Linked DNA regions of Arabidopsis thaliana. The protein of the gene in region 2 interacts with the protein of the main gene of each other region in a pairwise test. Each region holds a gene or a part of one and is shown on either strand. Other genes may lie near its edges.

Region 1 (7,182 bases), on a different chromosome or scaffold from region 2:
AAGGGATAATGGAGGAAAGGAAGAACCGACTCGGTTACGTTGGTGAAGTCGGATTATCCAATGCGATCGCTCAAACTGAACCCGAGAACATCCCATATTTAAACAAAAGAGTTAGCGGCGTTTGATTTGGTCTTTTCATGTTATTCACTGTAAGTTTATTATATAATCATCTAGGATTTTTTTTATATTTTTAGGACTGTAATATGCGAATAAGTCAAATTTCGTTGTCCATAGTTCTCAGAAGCCGTAGACTCTTTTAAAAATATGACTTCTCTCTTTGGTCATTTTTTTTTGTTTGAGGACCATTTCTTCAAGAGTGAAAATTGAGAAAAAGTCGTTGATGTTTCTTGAACAAATTCACTAAAAATGCAACTAATGTTAACCCATAGTTTGTACTTATTCTTCAATTAATCAATGAGTCATTTATCCAAAATTTATCAACAAGAATTCTCTCCCTAGACTTGATTGCCTGAAAAGTTTCCCAAATAAATAGAAACAAATATTAACTCGATTTCCCTAGAACCGAGTAAAGGATTAGAAACAGATACAAACTTGGTTTGATCAGCTCTTTGGTCCAAATATTTTGGTGAATTTCATAACAAGAATTAGGATTAGGGCTTGTAGTGTTGAACATGAGACTAAATCAGCCCATAGCCCATTCCCATTAAAGTGTAAGTGGAAAGATGAAAAAAACAAAAGTAGTCCAATAGGGAATACCACTGAAATAATAAGAAGTTTTGTTCACATAAGCTCCAATTTTCTCACACTACCTAAACACAATGAGGCATATTGTTCATGGCCAAGAAAATTAAAAACATGGCTCCTAAACCGGAGAGGATGGTTAAGAAAGGCTACCGGAGAGTGCAGTCAAGAAGCTCTCCATAAGGATTGAGAAGTTAAATATAAAAAGTTCAGATTGAGAGAAGCAAATACAAAATGAATCTAAGTAAAGAAAATTTAGTCCCAAGCCCATCTAATGACCCAACCTAACCCACCCGTCCAAGCATCAAGAGAATTAGCTCCTTCCCCTACTTACACAAATATGGTGACACAAGGCCACAAGCCTTTTGAAAAAAGAAAAAGCAAAAAAAAAATAAAGAAGGCCACAAGCCTTGGACATGAAACCTTCACCTTATATACTAGCAGATTTTTTTCTCCAACTTCCAATATGTACAAAAACCACTTTATCCATTTTGTGTATTTCATATACCCAACTTTGGATATCCATTTCTCACTCAGAAACAAACCTCAAATTTTACGTTTGAGTATACACTACAATCTACAAACTACAAAGATAGTGCTTGTAGATTAGATGAATCCAACGTTCTCAATGTAGTTTCGAGTGACAAATTTGCCGAAAATTAGTTTTCGGAAAAATGTCCAACGTAACATCCCAAAATTTAAGTTTCAATACCAAGTTGGGTTTATTGCTAGTTTTAGAATGAGGTTCAATTGAAATATAATTGAAAACCCCTCCTCTTGAGCAGGCGTATCAGGAATCCAACATTAAAAGTGTGATGTAACCGAGAACGTAATATAAAAATGATATGGGTCAATCTATTTATTGTTAGGAGTTCCATGACAAGACTCTTACGTTCATGAAATCAATATCTTGATGCAAAACTGAACTTGAACATGGACTGAAGCGAGGCTAGATTCATTTAACAAGACTCTCACGTTCGTGAAACCAATTTACTGGTGCAAAACTGGACTTGAACATGGACTGATGCGCGGCTGGATTCATTTGACAAGACTCTTACGTCCATGAAACCAATATACTATATTGGTGCAAAACTGGACTTGAACATGGACTTCTGCGAGGCTGGATTCACCTCATTGTATAACTGATTTTGCAAGTCCATACATTTTTGTTTCTTGGATTGATGTTGATTTAATTTAACTTTTTGTTAATCTTCAATATTATGTATGACGTGTCGTTGCTTCCACGTGTTTTCTGCCATAACAATTACCTACTCACCTTGACTCTTATGAGCATCTCTTGTCGGAGAAAGTATTCAAATTTGCTTTTTGACTTCTTTAATTCTTTGAGTATATCCTTTCAAGATACTCTCTCTTTGGTTCATTATTTGTTTTTTGGCCACGTAAAGTTGTATTATAGACTTTATAGTATAGAAGTTTTAAGCTTGAACCAATCAACTTTGGTCACTCTTTAATTCATCTATTATATACCAGATCATTTTTTAACTGAGATATATTTTCAAACTTTCTTACACTCTAATATCATATGAAAGACTATAATGTACTTTCAATATAAATTACAATCAACTGAAGGTTATTGCACAAACACACACAAAAAAAGAAGCAATCAAAATCCCCCAAAAGTTTGTATTTCTTTTTTTCTTCAATTAAGCAATGAGTCATGTCTCCAAACTTTCTCATCACCAATTCTCTCCCTAGCCTTAATTGCCTGCAAAATTTCATTGAAGAAAAAATGTGTAAACAAATATTAGCTCGATTTCTCGAAAAATCGAATGATGGATTAGAAACAGAAAAAAGCGAGTTACGCGGTTACAATCACCTCTTTGCTCCAATTGGTAAATCCAATAACAAGAAATAGGATTAGAGTTTGTAATGTTGATCCTGTGACTAAACCAGCCCAAAGTCCTTTCCCATTGAAGTGAAGATGAAAACACAATAGAAGTCCAACAGGAATACCAATGACATAATAAGAGGTTATGTTCACATAAGCTCCAATTTTTTGCCACCCTGTTCCTCTCACAATCCCTAAACAAAACAAAACATATATTCGGTTCACGTTCACAAAAAAATAATAACATGGTTGCAAAACCGGAGATGCGTGTTAAGAAAGGCTAACCGGAGAGGACGGTCAAGAAGCTGTCCATGAGGATTGAGATACAAAGAATAGGAGTGATATCAGTCACATAACTAATTACTTCCTCCACATTGCTATATGCATAAGGCCACACACTGCGAGACAAGAACAGACTAGAGCTCACAATAACTGACTCAACAGCTGCAATTATGATTGCAGCCGCAGCAGAATCACGAGCCCCTCGCGGATTCCCAGCTCCTAGCTCATTAGCCACATTGGTGCTAACCAACGAAACAAAAAAAAATGAAACATTAATTCTTCGAAAATAAAATGAAGTGAAAATTCGATGTAAGAGTATTAAAGTAAGAACAAACCTTGCTGCATCACCAATTCCATTTACTAGATTGTAATGCAATGAAGAGGTCGTGAGGCTGCTCAATCCCAAAAATTAAGGCTTAGAAAATGAAAGAAAATATAAGTATCACAGATTATATAGTTTTGCGGTTCGATACATTACCAAATCGAAATAACCGATGTTTCGAGCTTTGAGTTGGGTAGAAGACCAGACAGCAAAGTAATGACCTCGAAAGCTAACCACTCAAGGCTATTGAAGGAAGCAAGAGCAATAAGAAAATAAGTGTCAATAGAATATTAGTGAAGGGAAAAAAAATCCATTACACATTTATTTATGTAACCTAAGATTTTAAATCTTTCACCTATCCACAAAACAATGACCACCACTAGACTACCATCACTTGGTTAATTCTATATGGATTTTTAATAAAGTTGTACATACTTACCAACACATCATTGCAGAAGGAATGGCAAATTGAAAGAAGATATTTGTATGAACAAAAACATCCTTGGACATATAAATCCGCGTTTCGACACAACGACTAGAGCGTTTCATATAAACCCAAAGAAAAACCGCGTTGAGCCAGTAAGAGATACCGATAGACGCAGCCGCTCCTTTGGCTCCAAAATCAAATTTATGAACCATTAGCCAACAGAGAGGAACATGGAAAGACAGAGCAGCTAGAGAGCTCAAGACCATTGGATAAATCAAGCTTTGTGACTGAAAATATCGAACCAACGACTCGAGAACAGAGTAACCGAATAAAGCTGGTACCAGCCAGAGACAGTACACACCAGCTAACTCTGCTATTTGAGGATCTTGATGAAGCAACAGCAAGATCTGGTTCATGAACATCCAAAGAATCGAAATCGGAACAGAGATAATCAAAAGGAAAACTATTGAAGTGAAAGTGTAAGATCCAAGCTTGTGATATTGTTTTGCTCCATATGCTTGACCACATAGTGTTTCCAATGAACCTGAAAGTCCAAACTATATAGTATACAACAATAATTAGAAACAAATTAATCCAATACATATATATATATAAAGGTTCATATACTTGCTTACAAGAACACCAAAGCCGGTAACATTAGCAAAGGAGCTTCCTAGAGCGATTCCGGCGAGAGCGAGTTCGCTCCGGTGACCGACGATCATTGTAGAAGTTGCTTGAAGAAGGTATTGAGACATGTTCACGGCGACCATTGGAGCAGCCATTGAAGCAACTTTCTTCATCTTCTCCCATCTTATTTTTTCTTTATCTTCGTCTTGTGATTGTTTGGTGTTCAACAATAACGGAGTTTCGATACTCTTCTTCATTTTTTTTTTCTTTCTGGTTAGAGAAAATGTTGGAAGTTGTGTCGTATTTATTTAGCTTTATGATTTTGATATAATAAAATTTGTATTTTGATAAATAATATATGCGACGTCGCGACTCGAAGAAAAGAAAATAAACACGTTTCCGCTTCCGCGTATAAAAGCGAAATCGTTTTCGACTTTTATCATCTCACTCATTTAAGTCAAAAGATAGAATTCAGCACGTGTAAGAAGAAGATGCATCCTAACTAGTAACTAATAATTGGTTCCTATTTGTAGTTTGTACTTAAAAGATTTTAGTTGTGGAGTCTTTTTTTTTTTTTATGCCAGAGAAATTAATTAGACAACATAAAGTTTGTTTTGGTTGTATAGCCTTAAAAAGAAAAGTAAAACATGAATGGTTCAGTTTTAAGGCTTTGTGAGTTGTTGAAACTTTTTAGAACCTTTTACCAATCAAATACATTTGTGGTTAAAACTTAAAAATCATGTCGGTTCTTGAAAAAGGCAAGAGTGGTATTAACAATATTTTTGATTAGCATGAGATAGAACTGGAACACAGAACAATATAATACCTTAAGAGTATCAAACAGATATGAAAACTGAATTAGAATCGGTGTTTCCTCTTCAAGCCTTTACTAGTTGCTTCGCTTTGTGTTTCTTATCGTGTTATCTCTTGTATTCGTAGTTCCTTTAGTCGTAGTCTTTCTCCCTTTTTTTTTTTTTTTTTTTTTTTTTGCTTCTATTGTTTACTCTGTATTCTGTCTCAAACTTGAAAACGGTATAAATACTTAACATCGATACCAAAAAAAAAAAAAAAACTGAATTAGAAGATTTTTAAATGTATAGAACCACATACTGATCATCAGTTATTATTTAATTAGTCATAAAATGAGATATACATTTCTAAAGAATAAGGAATAAAAGTCTCTCTTCGTATTGATTGCATTGGCTCAAATCGATAAACATCGGTCCATGATCAATATTTTTAATATCATATCATTTATTTAAGTATTGAACCTAAGATGGCTTTCAGTGGTTACCATCTTACAATAGATTTTTTTTGTCAGCGTTAAACCACTTATGAGAAAAAAAATGTATAATATATGTAGTAATAGCTAGTTTTCAAAAGAACAACAAGATAAATTGTTATTTTGTCAATAGATGATATATGAAAAAGACTACTCATGACAGCGTGATTTATGTAAATTGTGTAACATAACTATAGATTAATTTAATATTTTATAATTATTTATATTATATGATATTTTTATGAATGGTTGAATTTTTTTAAAAATGGATATTTCTTAATCTGCATATTTAACTAAAACCTCTTATATTTTGAAACATAAAGAATACTCCTAGACTAGACATGCTGAGGCCTGAGAGGACAAATGAAACTAAACACATGTTTCAATACTGACCGACAGAAAGAAAAAAATAAATAAATGAAAAGAATAATAATAAAACACATGTTTCAACTTTAAATACATATCTCGATGAACCTAACCTAATCCACATCTCCATGTTAATTCATTGACAAAAACTCCAATCCATGATAATACTCCAATAACATAAAGTTTTAGTTTTCAAAATCATTGTTAAAAAGTACTATCGACTTTATATACTCCACAACATAAATTTGAAATTAGTCAGACTAAACCGCCAAAGTTAAGATTTTGTTTGTGTTTCTAAACAAACAAATTTTGCTCTACTTGATATCAATAATAAATCCGTCTCTTAATGACATTTTTTTTTACTATTTCGTTAACAAAATAGATGTAACTTAACTACTGATTACTAGTATTATTTTTGATTCAATATATCATACATACTTTTTACGTTTTAGTATAAATGTCATTTACAGGTTCTTCACATATAGTAAAAAAACAATTAGATTTTTTTGTCTATCGCTTATTAATATATTATACAATTTTTTATAATTGGTCAATACATTAAAATTGAATATTTACCAAATATCTACACTAAAAATAATAACAATACTTATTTTGAAATAAAATTTTAACACTAAAACGACACTTATTGTGAAAAGAAAGAAATGTATAACTTATAAAGTTAAAAGTTATAACCGAGAATATATGTATTCACAATGTCATTTACAGGTTCTTCACATATAGTAAAAACATTTTTTTTGTTTATCTCTTATTAATATATTATACAACTTTTTTTTATTGGTCAATACATTAAAATAGTAAGAATAGAATTGCAATTTCACCAAATACTGTAACTACATTCAAAATATAAAACAATACCTATTTTGATACAAACTTGTAAGAATTAAACCACACTTATTGTGAAACTAAATAAAAGTATAACTTATAAAGTTAAAAGTTATAACCGAGAATATGTATTCACAATCCGTGATATCCAATTGAGAGTAGTCCAGTCAAGAACTGCATTATACACACTGAAAAAGAGGAAGCCATTTTCTTACTTATCCTCGTCGAAGTTATCAAAAATAAATAAAGAAACAGAAGTTGTTGAGAAAAGTATTAATAATCGGTTCTGACTTCTGACATCGTGTGTTGGAAGAAATAATTAATACTTACACAGAGCATTTTGATAGTTTCAACTTTCTTTTTTACTTATGTTAAACTAACTCTAATCACATGTATTATGTATACAAATTCATATTTACGTTCACTTGGTTTAAAAAAGCACTCCACATACTTCATGCATCTTGATAATCCAACTATCTCTT
Region 2 (8,582 bases):
TGTCTTCTGCCAATTGTTTTGCGAGGATACTTTTTGGCATCGGACTGGTGCATCTACATGACGTGGCCTCTTGTTTAATCGTCACCTGGCTTTCCAATTTCCAAATAAAATCTACTAAGCTCTTGCTATTTTAAGCTTTTTATCTGCTACCATATGTTTCAAGTTTTGATATTATCTTCAAAAATATGGGAAAATAAATACAGAAAAATCAAAAAAAATAACTGTGAGTATGAAAAATATGGGGCGATTATTGGATGATAAAAAGAAGGTATGAAATTTCTGAATTGAAAAAAATACATAGAAAGGAAATTAGAAGAGGGGATAAATTGGTGAGGTAAATTTTGAATCAAACATTAAATTAACAAAAATGTAGTAAAATAGGGGGAAAAAAAAGTTTTTTTTTTTTTTTTGGAAATGTGTATGGGCTAGTAGCCCAAAAACAAGGAAAACACAAACTATTGGACTGGACTGATCAAAATAGTTAATGAGCGGTTTTGGTTTATGTAAAAAAGAGAATGGGCCTTTTAGATAGACTCTTTAAATAGAATTTGACAATCTCTTAAGTTATCTATTTATGGATAAATAAGTGATCCAACTTTAACTAGGTGAATTTGACAATCTTAAACTAGTAGGGAGTCTCACTCATGAACATTTTACATATTTATTTTTAAAATACTACACTTTCTTGAATACACAGCTTTTTTTTTGGGTGATATAATAAGGTATCTTCAAAAATTTATATATGAAATCAGATCCTAATATCTTGCTTTTACTGAAACCAAAAATTGTGTTTACAAAACGGCTCACATATCGGATTGGCACTCAAAAGTCAAATCACATATTTTGCCACGGATTTTATATAACTTCAAATATATGGAGAATGGAATTTTTGTATTTTTCAATTAGAAAAAAATACTATAGGGAAAACAGAGATGGGCAGGTCTGGCACAGGGCGTGTGAGACGTGGTCGGATTGAGGCAACCTGAATTTTGCATCTTATCTAAAATTCAGATTTGACCATCCCACTCACTGTATAAACCACTCCACATTATCTTTTTTATTTATTTCATTATTACTCTTTTGTGTACCCAAAAATGTGAGACTTATTGGTGACCATACAAGTCATAATTTATTCTTGTCGAAATTAATTTATATATAAATGTATGCGTATGTGTGTTGTAGATACGAATATGTGTCAACGTTGCTGACACTAATCTAATTATCATTATTGTGAACAAAGAGAGGCTTAAGAGTGTTCGATTGAAGTAGATATTTAATACTATTTGTTTGGATAAGGTAGTGTTAATTCAATGCAGTGCGCGGCCAACCAAAAAATAAAAAGATCAATTGCAACGTGTATCCAGTTACGGGTATGATTGGGAGCGATAGAACTTTTACATAAACATACACAAATCATTCTACAACACTTTTTAATCAAGTTTCATAGATGGTTAGATGAGTTCTATTCGAATTAACCTTATAGTGAGTTTTGGTGTGGTAAAAATAGTGTTGATTTTGGATTACATATACACATGCGGTTAGTTGGTGGTGTTGGTGATTTTGGATTTTGGATTTCAGTGAACAGCATCAAAGGCTCCGAGTTCGACCCATGAAAATAAAATCAGTCAATCCATTGCTTCTTCTTCATCTTAAAGCGTCGAGTCTAATGCCGATTTCTCTATGGAGAATACTCATCAGGATCATGATACAACCTGCAAACATGTTGCGTTGCCCTTATCACAGAGAACAGATCACTCATCTTTTTTTTCAAGAACTCACTCATGCATATTACCACTCACACATACTATCAAATAACACGGCACTAACACTAAAACAAATTACTAAGTTACAAACTGTACCAACACAAGATTTGCGGTTATTTATTCCTCTAAGTACCAAACTATTCGTGTCCTCGTTTTAAAACATTTAAATGCAGAGACAAAATCAGTTGAAGAAGACCTTAATTAGCTGCAAATATGCGATAATATTTTCCTAGTAATGCCAAGTTGCCAACTATAAAAAATGAGAAGATTGTCGAAAAGAACCAACTAATTACAAAAACTCATTTCCTCAAATTCTGGTCACGCTTCGCTTTAAACCTGTGTGCTTATCCATTGAAAACAAAACAACATCCCACGTGTCACCTTCTTTGCCACACGTGTGAATCTTAAACCACACATAGCCGTTAGAGGTAACGTCGTTACCGTGTCTTATGATATACGGAAGTTAACGCCGTTTGTTTAGTTTTTTCTTTTTAACGTCCGTGACGGTTTCATAACCTCGGGAACTAAGTAAGGAAGAGCTTTTGAAGCAGAGAGTCGTTACGTTTCAAACAACCGATCATAGTCATAGACACAATTATGGTATTAATTTCATTAATTAGTACTAATTCCCTATCAATTACAAGGAACGCAATTACAAAATTTTGTCTATAATAACATCAATTTTAGACCCTCATTTCAAGGAAAAATGTGGGAATGATTCTCCAATGACATATTTATGATTAAAAAGTTCATTTCTCAGGTTCGAAATATTTTGACCATTTTGAAATATACTAATAATGTTGTTTAAAAACATATCTTATTAGAATGTTTATATGGTGTTATAGTGTTGAGATATTTTTTTTAAATATAAATAATTGAGTACAAATCTATAAATTTAAACAATAAAGAGTGTTATTAACAATTAATGATAAGTAGTAAAAAAAAAAGAATATTCTTCAATAAAAACCGTAATTCATTTTTTTCCTATTTTTTAAAAAACAAAACAAAATAAGATAACCATAGGAAATGCCACTCTGTTACAACTCAGCAGTCTAATGATATTTAATAAAATACCAATTTTAGTGGTTTATGGTCAACAAAAATAGTTTACAAGCTTAGCTAGATGTGAATACATACTATATACTACCAAACTAGTTTATGATTTGTATATGAATCAATAAAAGCGTTAGCATAATTAGTATATATAAATGTAACTGTAATTGGACCAAAGAGATAAAGCATCTTGGGTTTAGTAAGCTTTTGAGCTGATGATGCTTATGTGATTAATGTGAATATAAGAATTAGGGAACAATCTTGTTGTTAATAACAATACTTATAACATTTAAATGCCCTTAAGTATCGTCATAATTACATCTTTGTCCCTATCCTTCTCTTTTTCACTTTTCCTAATCTCTAATATAAAACCAACTCTTGTCAAATTCAACAAAATTCTCACACAAACCGACCCGACCCGAATCTGGCCGGTGAGAAAATGGAGGTCCAAAGCAGCAGCAACAATGGTGGTCACTCTTCTTTCTCCAGTCTCCGCGTCTACCTCAACTCTCTTTCCGCGACGCCTTCTCGCTTATCCCGCCGCGCTATTTCCGTCTCCACCTCTTCCGACGAGATGAGTCGCGTCCGCGCCGTCTCCGGCGAACAGATGCGCCGTACTCTCCGGTGGTACGATCTCATTGGACTCGGAATCGGGGGAATGGTCGGCGCCGGTGTCTTTGTCACCACCGGCCGTGCTAGTCGTCTCGACGCCGGTCCTTCAATTGTCGTCTCTTACGCCATCGCCGGGCTCTGCGCTCTCCTCTCCGCTTTCTGTTACACCGAATTCGCCGTCCATCTCCCGGTCGCCGGCGGTGCCTTCAGCTACATCCGTATCACATTCGGTTAGTCTCCCGCGAAAATCATCACTACTCCTCCGATCTGTTCACGGTTTTCTGAAAATTTTAATTTCAAAATCAAAAACCGTAACTGATTTCTTTTCTGTTACATTTCCGTTCAGGTGAATTTCCAGCATTTTTCACCGGAGCAAATCTTGTAATGGATTACGTAATGTCAAACGCGGCCGTTTCGAGAAGCTTCACCGCTTATTTAGGAACAGCTTTCGGGATCTCAACTTCCAAGTGGCGATTCGTCGTCTCCGGTTTACCGAAAGGATTCAACGAGATTGATCCAGTCGCAGTTCTCGTCGTCCTCGTAATCACAGTCATCATCTGTTGCAGTACAAGAGAGAGTTCCAAAGTGAACATGATAATGACTGCATTTCACATCGCATTCATATTCTTCGTGATCGTGATGGGATTCATAAAAGGAGATTCAAAGAATCTATCCTCACCGGCGAATCCAGAGCACCCCTCGGGATTTTTTCCGTTCGGCGCGGCGGGAGTTTTCAACGGAGCTGCCATGGTTTACTTAAGCTACATAGGATACGACGCCGTTTCAACCATGGCGGAAGAAGTTGAAAATCCGGTCAAAGATATCCCCGTCGGTGTTTCCGGCTCCGTCGCAATCGTCACCGTTCTTTACTGTCTCATGGCAGTCTCTATGTCAATGCTTCTGCCATACGATCTGGTCCGTACTTCAAATTTATTATTTTCTTATTGTATATTTCCGTTTTCATAAAGACGGCACGTAGTCTGAGTCTAAAGCTGAAAACGGCGGGGCATGTGTTGTTGTAACGCAGATAGATCCGGAGGCGCCGTTTTCCGCGGCGTTCAGAGGATCGAACGGCTGGGAATGGGTGACGAAAGTGGTGGGGATAGGAGCAAGCTTTGGGATATTAACATCACTTTTGGTGGCAATGTTAGGTCAGGCTCGCTACATGTGTGTCATCGGACGGTCCAGAGTGGTCCCCTTTTGGTTCGCTAAGATTCATCCCAAAACATCTACGCCAGTCAACGCCTCCACTTTTCTTGGTACGTTTCTTTGTCTTCATTCATTCATCAAAAAAACATTTATTTAATTACTGTCAAACAAACAATGATGAAATATAATCAAATCATATATAGTTAAAAATAAATTTTGGTCCAGAAAGTGAGATAGAGGAGTAGTAGTTAGGTTAAAAGGGGACCCCAATGAGAACCGTTTCGGTTGTTTCCATGATCTTTTTATTGATTTGAACTTTTAACGTTTTCTCTAAATCATACGATCCACGTGATTTCATTATATATACGTGTCCATTTCAATATATTTTAAAGATCAAAAGCTTTTGGACGTTACCATTTTAAAAATCTTCTGCTATCGATTTCGATCGTGACAAGGGCTATGTACGTTGTGTAAGTATATCTCAATGTAGGGACATGGTTCAATGTGATTTGTATCATTGTATGGTGTTTAAGACAAGAGTCACAGAGAGAGCATCTGAGTCCGATTGCTAGATGTCGTTGTTCACCACTGGTTTTCTTTTCTGCTCTGTGAAAAGTTTCGTGTTTTTTGATTGTTCAAAGATTCAATCTTTTCAACGGTCTTGATTGTGATGGATTTGGTGGGTCTCTTTGGTTCTTTTTGTGTCTCCTTAGTGTTAAAAATACATATTCCACTTTTTTTTAAATAAAAATACGATAGTTGGATTATTAGTCATCCATTGGACGACTAGTAGTTAATCAATCATTTTTTTATTTCATTTTTTTTGTGAAGATACTACTAAGCCTAGTCGGCTGATATTTTGACAACTCCAACTTTTCGTAATTTCCGGAACATCTGGCTGAGCTATGCAACTCGTGAGTTGTTAGGTACCAGGATTTAGAATAATGACCATCTTTGATAAAATACATAGAAGATTGGAAAACATATACTAACGTTTAGAGCCATATTTATATGCATAATCTTTGTAACAAGCATTGTTTTCCTCATTAAGTTACTCTCATGCCTTTGTCACAAAATGGATCATTATAAAGGGGGTCATCATCGTTCAACCTTATCCTTGCTAATTTTAGCACCCACTAACTCACATTTGCTATATCCATCAATAGCATTGACAAAAAGACAAAATAAAGGAACAAATCCTCCCACTACCATTCATTTCAAATTTGGACTTTTTTCACTAGTCGAATCATCTACAGTTATAGAGAATATGACCATTGACCAATCTTATTAACGTTCGTATATTTTATCCCTTATCAGGCATTTTCACGGCGGCTCTTGCGCTTTTCACCGACCTAAACGTCCTCCTAAACCTCGTATCCATTGGAACACTATTTGTCTTCTACATGGTCGCAAACGCTCTCATCTTCAGACGTTACGTCCCGGTTGGACCCACCAAGCCGTGGCCCACACTCTGCTTCCTCACACTATTCTCCATAACCTCTCTCGTCTTCACCCTCATCTGGAAACTTGTGCCGGAAGGTAAGCCTAAAGCTTTCATGCTCGGTGCCAGTGCGGTGGTGGCTATAGCCATCGTGCTGAGCTTTCAGTGCGTGGTTCCCCAGGCTAGGAAACCTGAGTTGTGGGGAGTCCCGTTCATGCCGTGGACCCCGTGCGTGTCGATATTCTTGAACATTTTTTTGCTTGGTTCGTTGGACGCACCCTCTTACGTCCGGTTTGGATTCTTCTCCGGTTTGATCGTGCTCGTGTATTTGTTTTATGGCGTTCATGCGAGTTCTGATGCTGAAGCGAATGGATCTTTTGGTGTGAAAGATGGACAAGTCATGAAAGAGCTAATTGAAGTGTGAAAAGTATTTATTTAGTTTAGTTTTCTAAAGCATCATGAACCAAAATGTAATTAAACTCTCTAATTTTTTTTCTACATGAGGGGGTTTGAAATATTAATGAGAAAATATTAAATACAACTTTAGGAAAAAAAAGAATATGTATTTTGGTTTAACGAACGACCAAAATGAAATCGGTCATATGCAAGTCAATCTGTTGAGAGAATAGAGAAACTGATGATATTTTTGTTTTACCGTTGTGTACAATTCACAACACACAATATTTTTAAATACAGTACAAACTATTAGGTTACAAGTTTTTGAGATTGAAAGATCAAATCTTTGTCAAACCTATAAGGCAAGATCACGTATGAAATATACATGTGATAGATAACATTAATAAATGGAAACGTTAGATAGACATAGGTCTCTCATAAATACGAGATGGCGTACAATTGAAAACGATGGGTCCCCATCTTTCTCACGGGACACACATACGTGACATTATCCGCAACTTCATATATATCCAACAAGATCACCTTTTCTTTTTCATTTTTTTGTTCACAATCACTTGTTTCAAATTCCTTGAGGATATTTATACATTCTTTTATTATTTGCATTTATATATTCTATATATCAATAGTACTATTGAACTTTCGTAAACAAAGAACCATGCACAAAAAGTTTCAGTTTATTAAAGATGTCTTCATTTTTCTACTTTTATTTCTTATCAAGTATGATTTAGTTTATCTTATTGATTTCATAAAGATGAATGTCTAAGGTAGGATCGAATATGTGATCTCAATTAGTATAATCAGTCCAATTATTCTTTTAGTGAACACTACCAATAGGCAATAATTATGTGAGTAATTTAGTTAGGATAACATACATAATTACATTTTTATATATTTTGAAGTGGATGATATAAATCTCGAATCTAAATGAACTGTGTTTAAGTGGGAGACGACACTTGCTTGTATTCTCTCTCTTTTTGGTAACTATATTCGTAAGGATGGGGTCCAAAGAAAAGCCCAATATTTTCAAGATCGTCACATTGTTGGAAGCTTTATTTTTACATTATTTATGGATTTGTTTATAAGAAATATTCTGCCAATAAGAAGATGTGATTCTATTGGCAATACAAAGATTTGATGTCTTTCTAGAAACCCCACTTTACTCAAAGTAATGAGTTCCCTCTGTAAAAGGGTTCAACTCTAAGCGTGATCAGTGCTTCTTTTTAAAACTTTCCTTTATCCTAATTACAAACCTTAATATTGGATTCTACATTGGATTAACTACCAAAATTTTGACTTTTGAGGTTTACAAAAAGACAACATGTATTTTGTTTAACAACGGCCATGAAAGAACCTATTTTCTTCATTTTTTTTTTTTTTTGGTACAACCTGTCTAAACTAACAAAATATCTTGGATTTAGGATCATTATTATTGCATTATAATTATCGGCTATCAATTTCTGAAATGCACTAGAGTAAATGAAGAAAACTAGAGCTTAATCCTTGATTAAATAAATTATATAGAACACGGGACCACGAAAATGTCAACCTCTTATAAACCATTCAAAGCAAAATCTAAGGCAAGTTGTGTAGAAGATAGAGTGAGCCCATTAATCCATAGCTATATAGGTCTAATCAATTATTTCACTTTTTTGTTGACATTTTTATCACGAAATTTTTTTCCGACTTCTCATGAGCTTTGACATTCGCTTAAAGAAAAAAAGATCTTTATGTATAAAATAGTGTTTTCCAAAAAAGAAATCATAAGAGGAAAGATAGGAAGAAGGATAAGACTTTGATTCTCACCAAACAGCGAAGTTTTTGGCAACTTGCAACACCCTCCACATTTTAATTATCCAAATAAAGTTAAATAAAAAGTTAAACTTAGACATTCTATTCCATGATGTTAAAATCTTGTCGTCAAGTTGGTCTTACTCATATTTCAACATTCTTAATCATACAAATACGGAATCGCAAATCTTATTTATCTGCTTTCTTTCACCAATTGTAATAGATTATTATATTTTGAACAAACAACATTTATGACTTTACAATTTAACAAATATAAGATAGAAAAAAACAAGTTAAAAATATATAATCATCTGTTAATATGGCATTAACCATTCCCGCCAAATTTCCAAATAAGTTGT
Region 3 (6,828 bases), on a different chromosome or scaffold from region 2:
TCAAATAAAGAACTAATAAAGTTTTAGATGGAAAAAAAAAAGAACTACGTGTTTTTTTGGTGAAACTTTTGAATAAAGTAATAAGACCTACCCATATGATGATCTAACCTACCCAAGTTATCACTTGTATCGGAAAGTCCCCAAACTTATCTTTCTGGTTGTGTCGGCCAAATGTATCCCAACTAATACACACAATTTCACTTTGAATTTCTCTTTCTCTTCTTCCAGAAGATTTCTCCTTCTATCGTTGACCTAAATGATTGATCTGTCTTGGTTATTTTGTCACACGATGTGTATGCCAATCAGCTTTGGACTACAATGCATGTTAAGGTTCGTACTAAAAAAAACTCAGCATGAAGAATGTTGGTTCGAGGACTTAAATTCTGATCTGACGTAGCTAGTCTATCGATTATCTGCCTTTAAACCAAAGCTTTTTGGATTAAAGATAGGTAATCCGTGCGTTGAAGGTATATCATTTTCTTACCCAACAAATTCATTTAACCTCATAGTATAAATTTCGTTTGGTTTTGATTTTTGATAGCGACAATATATGCCTTTTCAATTAAAAGTGAAAAGAAAAAAACGCATGCCATTTACTTGTTTGAGTAAGTTACTCATTATGGTATATGCTCTTCAAGAAAACAAATCAAATACTACTTTTTCGTCACGTATCTTTCTTTTTCAGCTCACCAAAATATAACTTTCAAGGAATCATATCAAAACTTTACTATTTACATGGATTTTGTGCATTTGCATAATTTACGTATACAAATCCCAAAGGTTAGCGTTTTTGCCAACTATATATATAGATACTAGCTAGATGATTATCCAGATTTACTTCTTCTTTTTTAATAATATATATATCGTATATCCATTAAATGTGTAAACCTTTACTTCTAACAGATTTAGAGATCTATAAAACGTATACACTAAGAATTATTTAGAAAAACTAGAAGTTTGAAATAAGTTATTGTCTCTCTAATACACCAATATTGCTTCTTATGTTCATTACAATTTTACAAATGTATGCTTACCAGATTACAAAAGCATGTTGAAAATTCGAAGTTATGATACCAATTTATTAGTAGCGAATGTAAAAAAGACTAAACATAAATTGGACGTAGTCCACCAAGATATATAATGTTATAATTAGCGGGGTAAAATATTGATTTAATACTGGAGGCGTAATAACATCTTGTTTCAGAATTCCAACAACGTACGAGTAAGAAAAACAAAAATACAGTTCTCAACAGACTAATTGGACGTAAAACTCTAGGCCAGCCAAACTGACAAAGCATATGACAAAAATATAAATGATAGAATTGGCAATTTCAGAATTTTCCATCGATCATGCTAAAATGAACATTAGTTGGAACCCAAAAACATTTTTGTTTATCTTGCACATACAAACAGAGCTATAGGTTACGTTATGACTTATGATGTTCTGATTTATTGATCAAATCACACATCAGTTTTTTCCCAACAGATATCAATTTCATTATGTAATGATACATATAGTCTGATAGTATTATTCGTCTGTTGAGAACAACGGCTTTTTGTTGGATACAAGTTTTTTTGTTTCGTCAAAACAAGTTTAATTTTGGACTTCATCACTTCAATAAGAAAAAGAAACCAACTGAAAATAAATGCACCGTATAAATTTAGTTCACCAAATTATATAAATGTGGAAAAGAATCTTTAAAGGTTACGCCACTATTGAACATAGATCAGGAAAATGCCGAAAGTGAAGAAGATGGCGACTTTTAACTTACAATATTAGCAATATTTTTGGTCATATCGTATTAAAATTGATGACCTACCATTTAAAAATGGTGGATATAACTTCTTCTAGCATATGTTACTATAATGAATGATCAATTCTGAATTCTCATACATATGACTTCACAACGGAAACTTTTTGCTTTAGAGTTTCATAAATAGTTTACGACATACAATTTTTCATGCATTCCACTCACGAGAACAACTTTATACGTAACATGCAATTGCAAAACTACAATAATCGGGTTTACATGTAACATAGCATCTAATAAAAATCTTCACTTCCTTTATTAAAAAATAATAAAAATTGAAAACAAGAAGACCAAGTTCAAGTTCAACGAAGGTCGTCACAAATTATTTGAAGACCGTGTGCGAAACCATTTTTTAAACTCATTGTAACCTTTTAATTATTATTTTAACTTACGTATGTATTGGTTAAAACTTAAAACACTTGCCTGATTACACTACTTTTTTTTTTTGTTGGAAATCTTTTCAATTTATTTTGCTCGATATACTTCTCAGGTTGTATACGTCTAAATCTTGAGGAAAATTCATATCTTGCAGAAATATAATTCTCGTACCAGAATACGTGGGCACCCACAAACACTGTGGAACAACAGTAGAAGTTTTTGATCGTCATTGTTCCACTATGGATGCAAGTGGTGGACATATATAGTTATGTGTATATATATACTAGTAAATGCACACAATCGATATAACAAGTTATTCTAAAATTTAACCCAAAAAAAAAAAAAGAGAAGAAAAAGACTCAACATGGTTCATGCTGATGGTCATAATTTTCCCGGTTCGGATCCAAACCCTCATATGAACAAGTTCGCTTTCGGGTGTGCCATTGTTGCTTCCATCATTTCTATCATCTTTGGATATGGTAACATACTAACATTCTCTACATATCAAACAAAAGTTTTCTACATATATCATATAAAGATATATTCAATGGAATTATATTAATGATTTTATATTAACGAATATTTTTTTTTTTGTAATGGTGTGTTGTCCTTAGATACGGGAGTTATGAGCGGAGCTCAGATATTTATAAGAGATGATCTAAAAATAAACGACACTCAGATTGAAGTTTTGGCCGGAATCTTGAATCTTTGTGCACTCGTCGGATCACTAACGGCGGGGAAAACGTCTGACGTCATCGGCCGACGTTACACCATAGCTCTCTCCGCCGTGATATTCTTAGTGGGCTCAGTTCTTATGGGTTACGGCCCAAACTATCCTGTTTTGATGGTCGGACGATGTATTGCCGGAGTTGGTGTAGGGTTTGCTCTCATGATAGCTCCGGTTTACTCTGCCGAGATATCCTCTGCGTCACATAGAGGCTTTCTCACTTCTCTACCTGAGCTTTGTATTAGTCTTGGGATTTTACTAGGCTATGTCTCGAATTACTGTTTTGGGAAACTGACGTTGAAACTTGGATGGAGATTGATGCTTGGAATCGCAGCGTTCCCGTCTTTGATATTGGCTTTTGGGATTACAAGAATGCCCGAGTCGCCGAGGTGGCTTGTGATGCAAGGTAGGTTAGAAGAAGCCAAGAAAATAATGGTTTTGGTATCCAATACGGAAGAAGAAGCTGAAGAACGGTTCAGAGACATCTTAACCGCTGCGGAAGTAGATGTGACAGAGATAAAAGAAGTTGGTGGCGGCGTTAAGAAGAAGAATCACGGTAAAAGTGTTTGGAGGGAGTTGGTGATAAAACCGCGACCTGCGGTGCGTTTGATCTTGATAGCGGCCGTTGGGATACACTTTTTCGAGCATGCGACGGGGATTGAGGCCGTCGTGTTGTACAGCCCGAGAATTTTCAAGAAAGCCGGAGTTGTTTCGAAAGACAAGCTCTTACTAGCCACGGTCGGTGTAGGTTTAACTAAGGCCTTTTTCATAATAATAGCCACTTTCTTGCTCGACAAGGTAGGTCGTAGAAAGCTCCTGTTGACCAGTACGGGTGGGATGGTCTTCGCATTGACCAGTTTAGCGGTTAGTCTCACGATGGTTCAGCGATTTGGGCGGTTAGCGTGGGCATTGAGTTTAAGCATCGTCTCTACGTATGCATTTGTAGCTTTTTTCTCCATAGGGCTTGGACCTATCACATGGGTGTACAGCTCCGAGATATTCCCGTTGAGACTTAGGGCTCAGGGAGCGAGTATAGGTGTTGCGGTTAATAGGATCATGAACGCGACGGTCTCAATGAGTTTTCTGTCGATGACGAAGGCGATCACGACAGGGGGCGTGTTCTTCGTATTCGCCGGAATAGCGGTGGCGGCATGGTGGTTCTTCTTCTTTATGTTGCCGGAGACGAAAGGATTGCCATTGGAGGAGATGGAGAAGCTTTTTGGTGGTGGGGGTCCTCGTGGTGATCGTGACGGACTTGAGATTCAAACTAAAACCATCTCTATTGGGGGTTTCTCATAAGAGTTTCTCACAATTAAAAAAATAAAAATAATAAAAATGAAGGAGAGAGAGTGTAGAAAGATTCTCAGAAACTTTGAGATACTCTCTACAACCCATCATGACAATTCGCTTCTCACTATTGGTTCAACTTTTTAACAAAAATATTTTTTTAATCAAAAATTCAAATTATAATATAATATTAATTTTTTTTTGTTTGAGAAACTTTGTGGGTTTCTCATGGATGGAGATGCCCTTAGAGAGTCAATAATTAGGTTAGATTATCATGGCTATGTAGAATAATTTTTAAATCCAACATGATTTGGCATATCTATTATAAGGTGTGATTTTTTGTAAAGGACAAAGTATGATTTTTATATTCATCCCTTTTTACTGTAGCTAATGAGAATCTACAACCTAATAAAAAACAATAACAATTATTTAATTATAAAATCTAATAGTTCACCAAAACAAAATCATATATCGGTTTGGATTTATAAGAGAGGGTTAAAGTTTAAATTTTATGATTAAACGAAGTTAAATACCAGTTTAGGTTTATAAACGATTTTAGATTTTAGAATCAAACGAGGTTAAATGTCGGTTTAGAGTTATAAACGGGTTTGGATTTTACAATTAGATGAGGTTAAATGTCGGTTTGAGTTTTAGAAAGAACGATTTAAGTTTAGATTTTACAATTAATCGAGTTTAAATGTCGGTTTGGATTTACAAAATAGAATTAGAGTTTAAATTTTGTAATTAAACAAAATTATATATCGGTTTGAGTTTATGAAATAGTGGTTAAGATTATAGATTTTATAATTAAATGAGTTTATTTATTTATTAGGTGACATATTCTAATTGGCTGAAAGAGGTGAATGAAAAGGTGAACCAAGAATTGTTCGATTTTTAACTACACATCTAATTCTAGACTCTAGAGTATGCATATTAATGTTTCCAGAGATCAGAAAGTGCTTAAACAAAACATATTGATCACTTCATGGTTTTTAAGTCTTAGTTTAATTGATGGAAAGGAGAGGATTACCAATACTGAAGTAGAGTCATAGTTGATATTTGAGGGGTGAGAACCCTGAGATTCGTAAAGAAATCGATGAACTTGTGCGTGAAGAAATTAGTTTGATCATGCTCAAAGGTCTAAATAATAAAAAACCTTGACATTTGTTCCCAATTGAAGTCCTTTAATTGTGAGAAAAATTATGTTGCTCTAGAGCAATATTGAAGAAAAAGGAGACATATCACATATGGGAAGACCTGAGGAGCAATGATTTGATTTGACGGACCAAAATAAACCAGAGATTTTCCTGACAAATTAAGGTAATAATGCATGAGGTTACGTGGAAATGAATCAACAATCGTTAGCTCCTAATATCACGGAGCCAAAAAGAGAAAAATTAGACCGGAGATTATTACAATTAGTAACTAACACAAAACTGTTATTAAGACAGAAAGAGAGAGAAGAGGCATGTTTCTCGGAATGAAGACAGAGCAAATCTCAATCTTCCTTTTTCACCTTATTCCTATTATCATTTTCTGATCAAATGTTCAAAAACTCTCTCCCCTTAATCTCTTCCTCTAAGGTACACACTTTCATGCTAATCTCTTAACTAATTTTGTATTAATCTCTTATATTTAGCATTACCTGTTTTGTTAACGATCTAACGAACATAATAAGACAAGAACTTGTTCCAACGTTAACACCATTTTGATTATGATCTGTTTTTTCTACGTGTTGTTGTTGTTGTTCTCAGAATAATTGAGTGGTTAAGGGAGAGAGGAGACGGAGAGTTTTTATTTTCGTTACCGGAAAATTTTGATCTCCGATGGCTTCTTCTCCTGAATCTGCTCCTCCAACAAACTCCACCTCTTCTCCATCTCCACCGTCTAATACCAATTCAACCACCTCTTCTCCGCCGGCTCCGTCTCCTCCTTCTCCTACACCTCCTCAAGGAGACTCATCATCATCGCCACCTCCTGATTCCACATCTCCACCAGCTCCACAAGCTCCTAACCCTCCTAATTCCTCTAATAACTCTCCTTCCCCTCCGTCACAGGGCGGTGGAGGAGAAAGAGGAAATGGAGGAAACAATGGTGGCAATGATACTCCACCGTCACGCGGCTCTCCTCCTTCTCCTCCTTCTAGGAGTAATGGAGATAATGGTGGTAGCAGATCATCGCCACCAGGAGACACTGGAGGCTCTCGCTCAGACAACCCTCCTTCTAGCGGAGGAAGCAGTGGAGGAGGTGGAGGTGGAAGAAGTAATACGAATACAGCGATCATAGTTGGTGTATTAGTCGGAGCTGGACTTTTGATGATCGTTCTTATTATTGTGTGTCTTAGACGCAAAAAGAAGAGAAAAGACTCCTTCTACCCTGAACCCATGAAAGGTAAAAACATATACACACTCTTATGTTTCAACAAATAAGAAGCTTAGATTCTTTCATAAAATTTCAGGAAACCAATATCAATACTATGGAAACAACAACAACAACAATGCTTCACAGAATTATCCGAATTGGCACCTAAATTCACAAGGCCAAAACCAACAATCTACTGGTGGTTGGGGAGGCGGTGGACCATCACCGCCTCCTCCTCCGCGGATGCCTACAAGCGGAGAAGAT

Evidence for each region. Proteins that work in one complex are often made in the same cells at the same time.
Region 1: the proteins of CAT6 (region 2) and AT1G66760 interact in a protein complementation assay, tested with the Arabidopsis thaliana proteins (one large-scale study listed by BioGRID).
Region 3: the proteins of CAT6 (region 2) and AT2G18480 interact in a protein complementation assay, tested with the Arabidopsis thaliana proteins (one large-scale study listed by BioGRID).

The regions. Positions count from the first base shown.
Region 1 is NC_003070.9:24,899,394-24,906,575, reverse strand, and holds AT1G66760 (MATE efflux family protein), read right to left. Parts: upstream 4,695-7,182; 5' UTR 4,467-4,694; coding exon 4,218-4,466; exon of another isoform or gene 4,140-4,217; coding exon 3,595-4,139; intron 3,399-3,594; coding exon 3,312-3,398; intron 3,226-3,311; coding exon 3,169-3,225; intron 3,076-3,168; coding exon 2,837-3,075; coding exon of another isoform or gene 2,832-2,836; exon of another isoform or gene 2,746-2,831; coding exon 2,540-2,745; coding exon of another isoform or gene 2,522-2,539; exon of another isoform or gene 2,429-2,521; coding exon 2,363-2,428; 3' UTR 2,133-2,362; downstream 1-2,132. Other genes in the region: SWEET6 (Nodulin MtN3 family protein), read left to right, coding at 1-125.
Region 2 is NC_003076.8:1,375,863-1,384,444, forward strand, and holds CAT6 (cationic amino acid transporter 6), read left to right. Parts: upstream 1-2,758; 5' UTR 2,759-3,255; coding exon 3,256-3,658; exon of another isoform or gene 3,659-3,774; coding exon 3,775-4,343; intron 4,344-4,455; coding exon 4,456-4,687; intron 4,688-5,408; coding exon of another isoform or gene 5,409-5,440; exon of another isoform or gene 5,441-5,894; coding exon 5,895-6,442; 3' UTR 6,443-6,616; downstream 6,617-8,582. UniProt on the Arabidopsis thaliana protein: Permease involved in the transport of the cationic neutral or acidic amino acids.
Region 3 is NC_003071.7:8,006,969-8,013,796, reverse strand, and holds AT2G18480 (Major facilitator superfamily protein), read left to right. Parts: upstream 1-2,519; 5' UTR 2,520-2,553; coding exon 2,554-2,668; intron 2,669-2,803; coding exon 2,804-4,215; 3' UTR 4,216-4,696; downstream 4,697-6,828. Other genes in the region: PERK4 (roline-rich extensin-like receptor kinase 4), read left to right, coding at 6,030-6,594, 6,662-6,828. UniProt on the Arabidopsis thaliana protein: Plasma membrane sugar-proton symporter.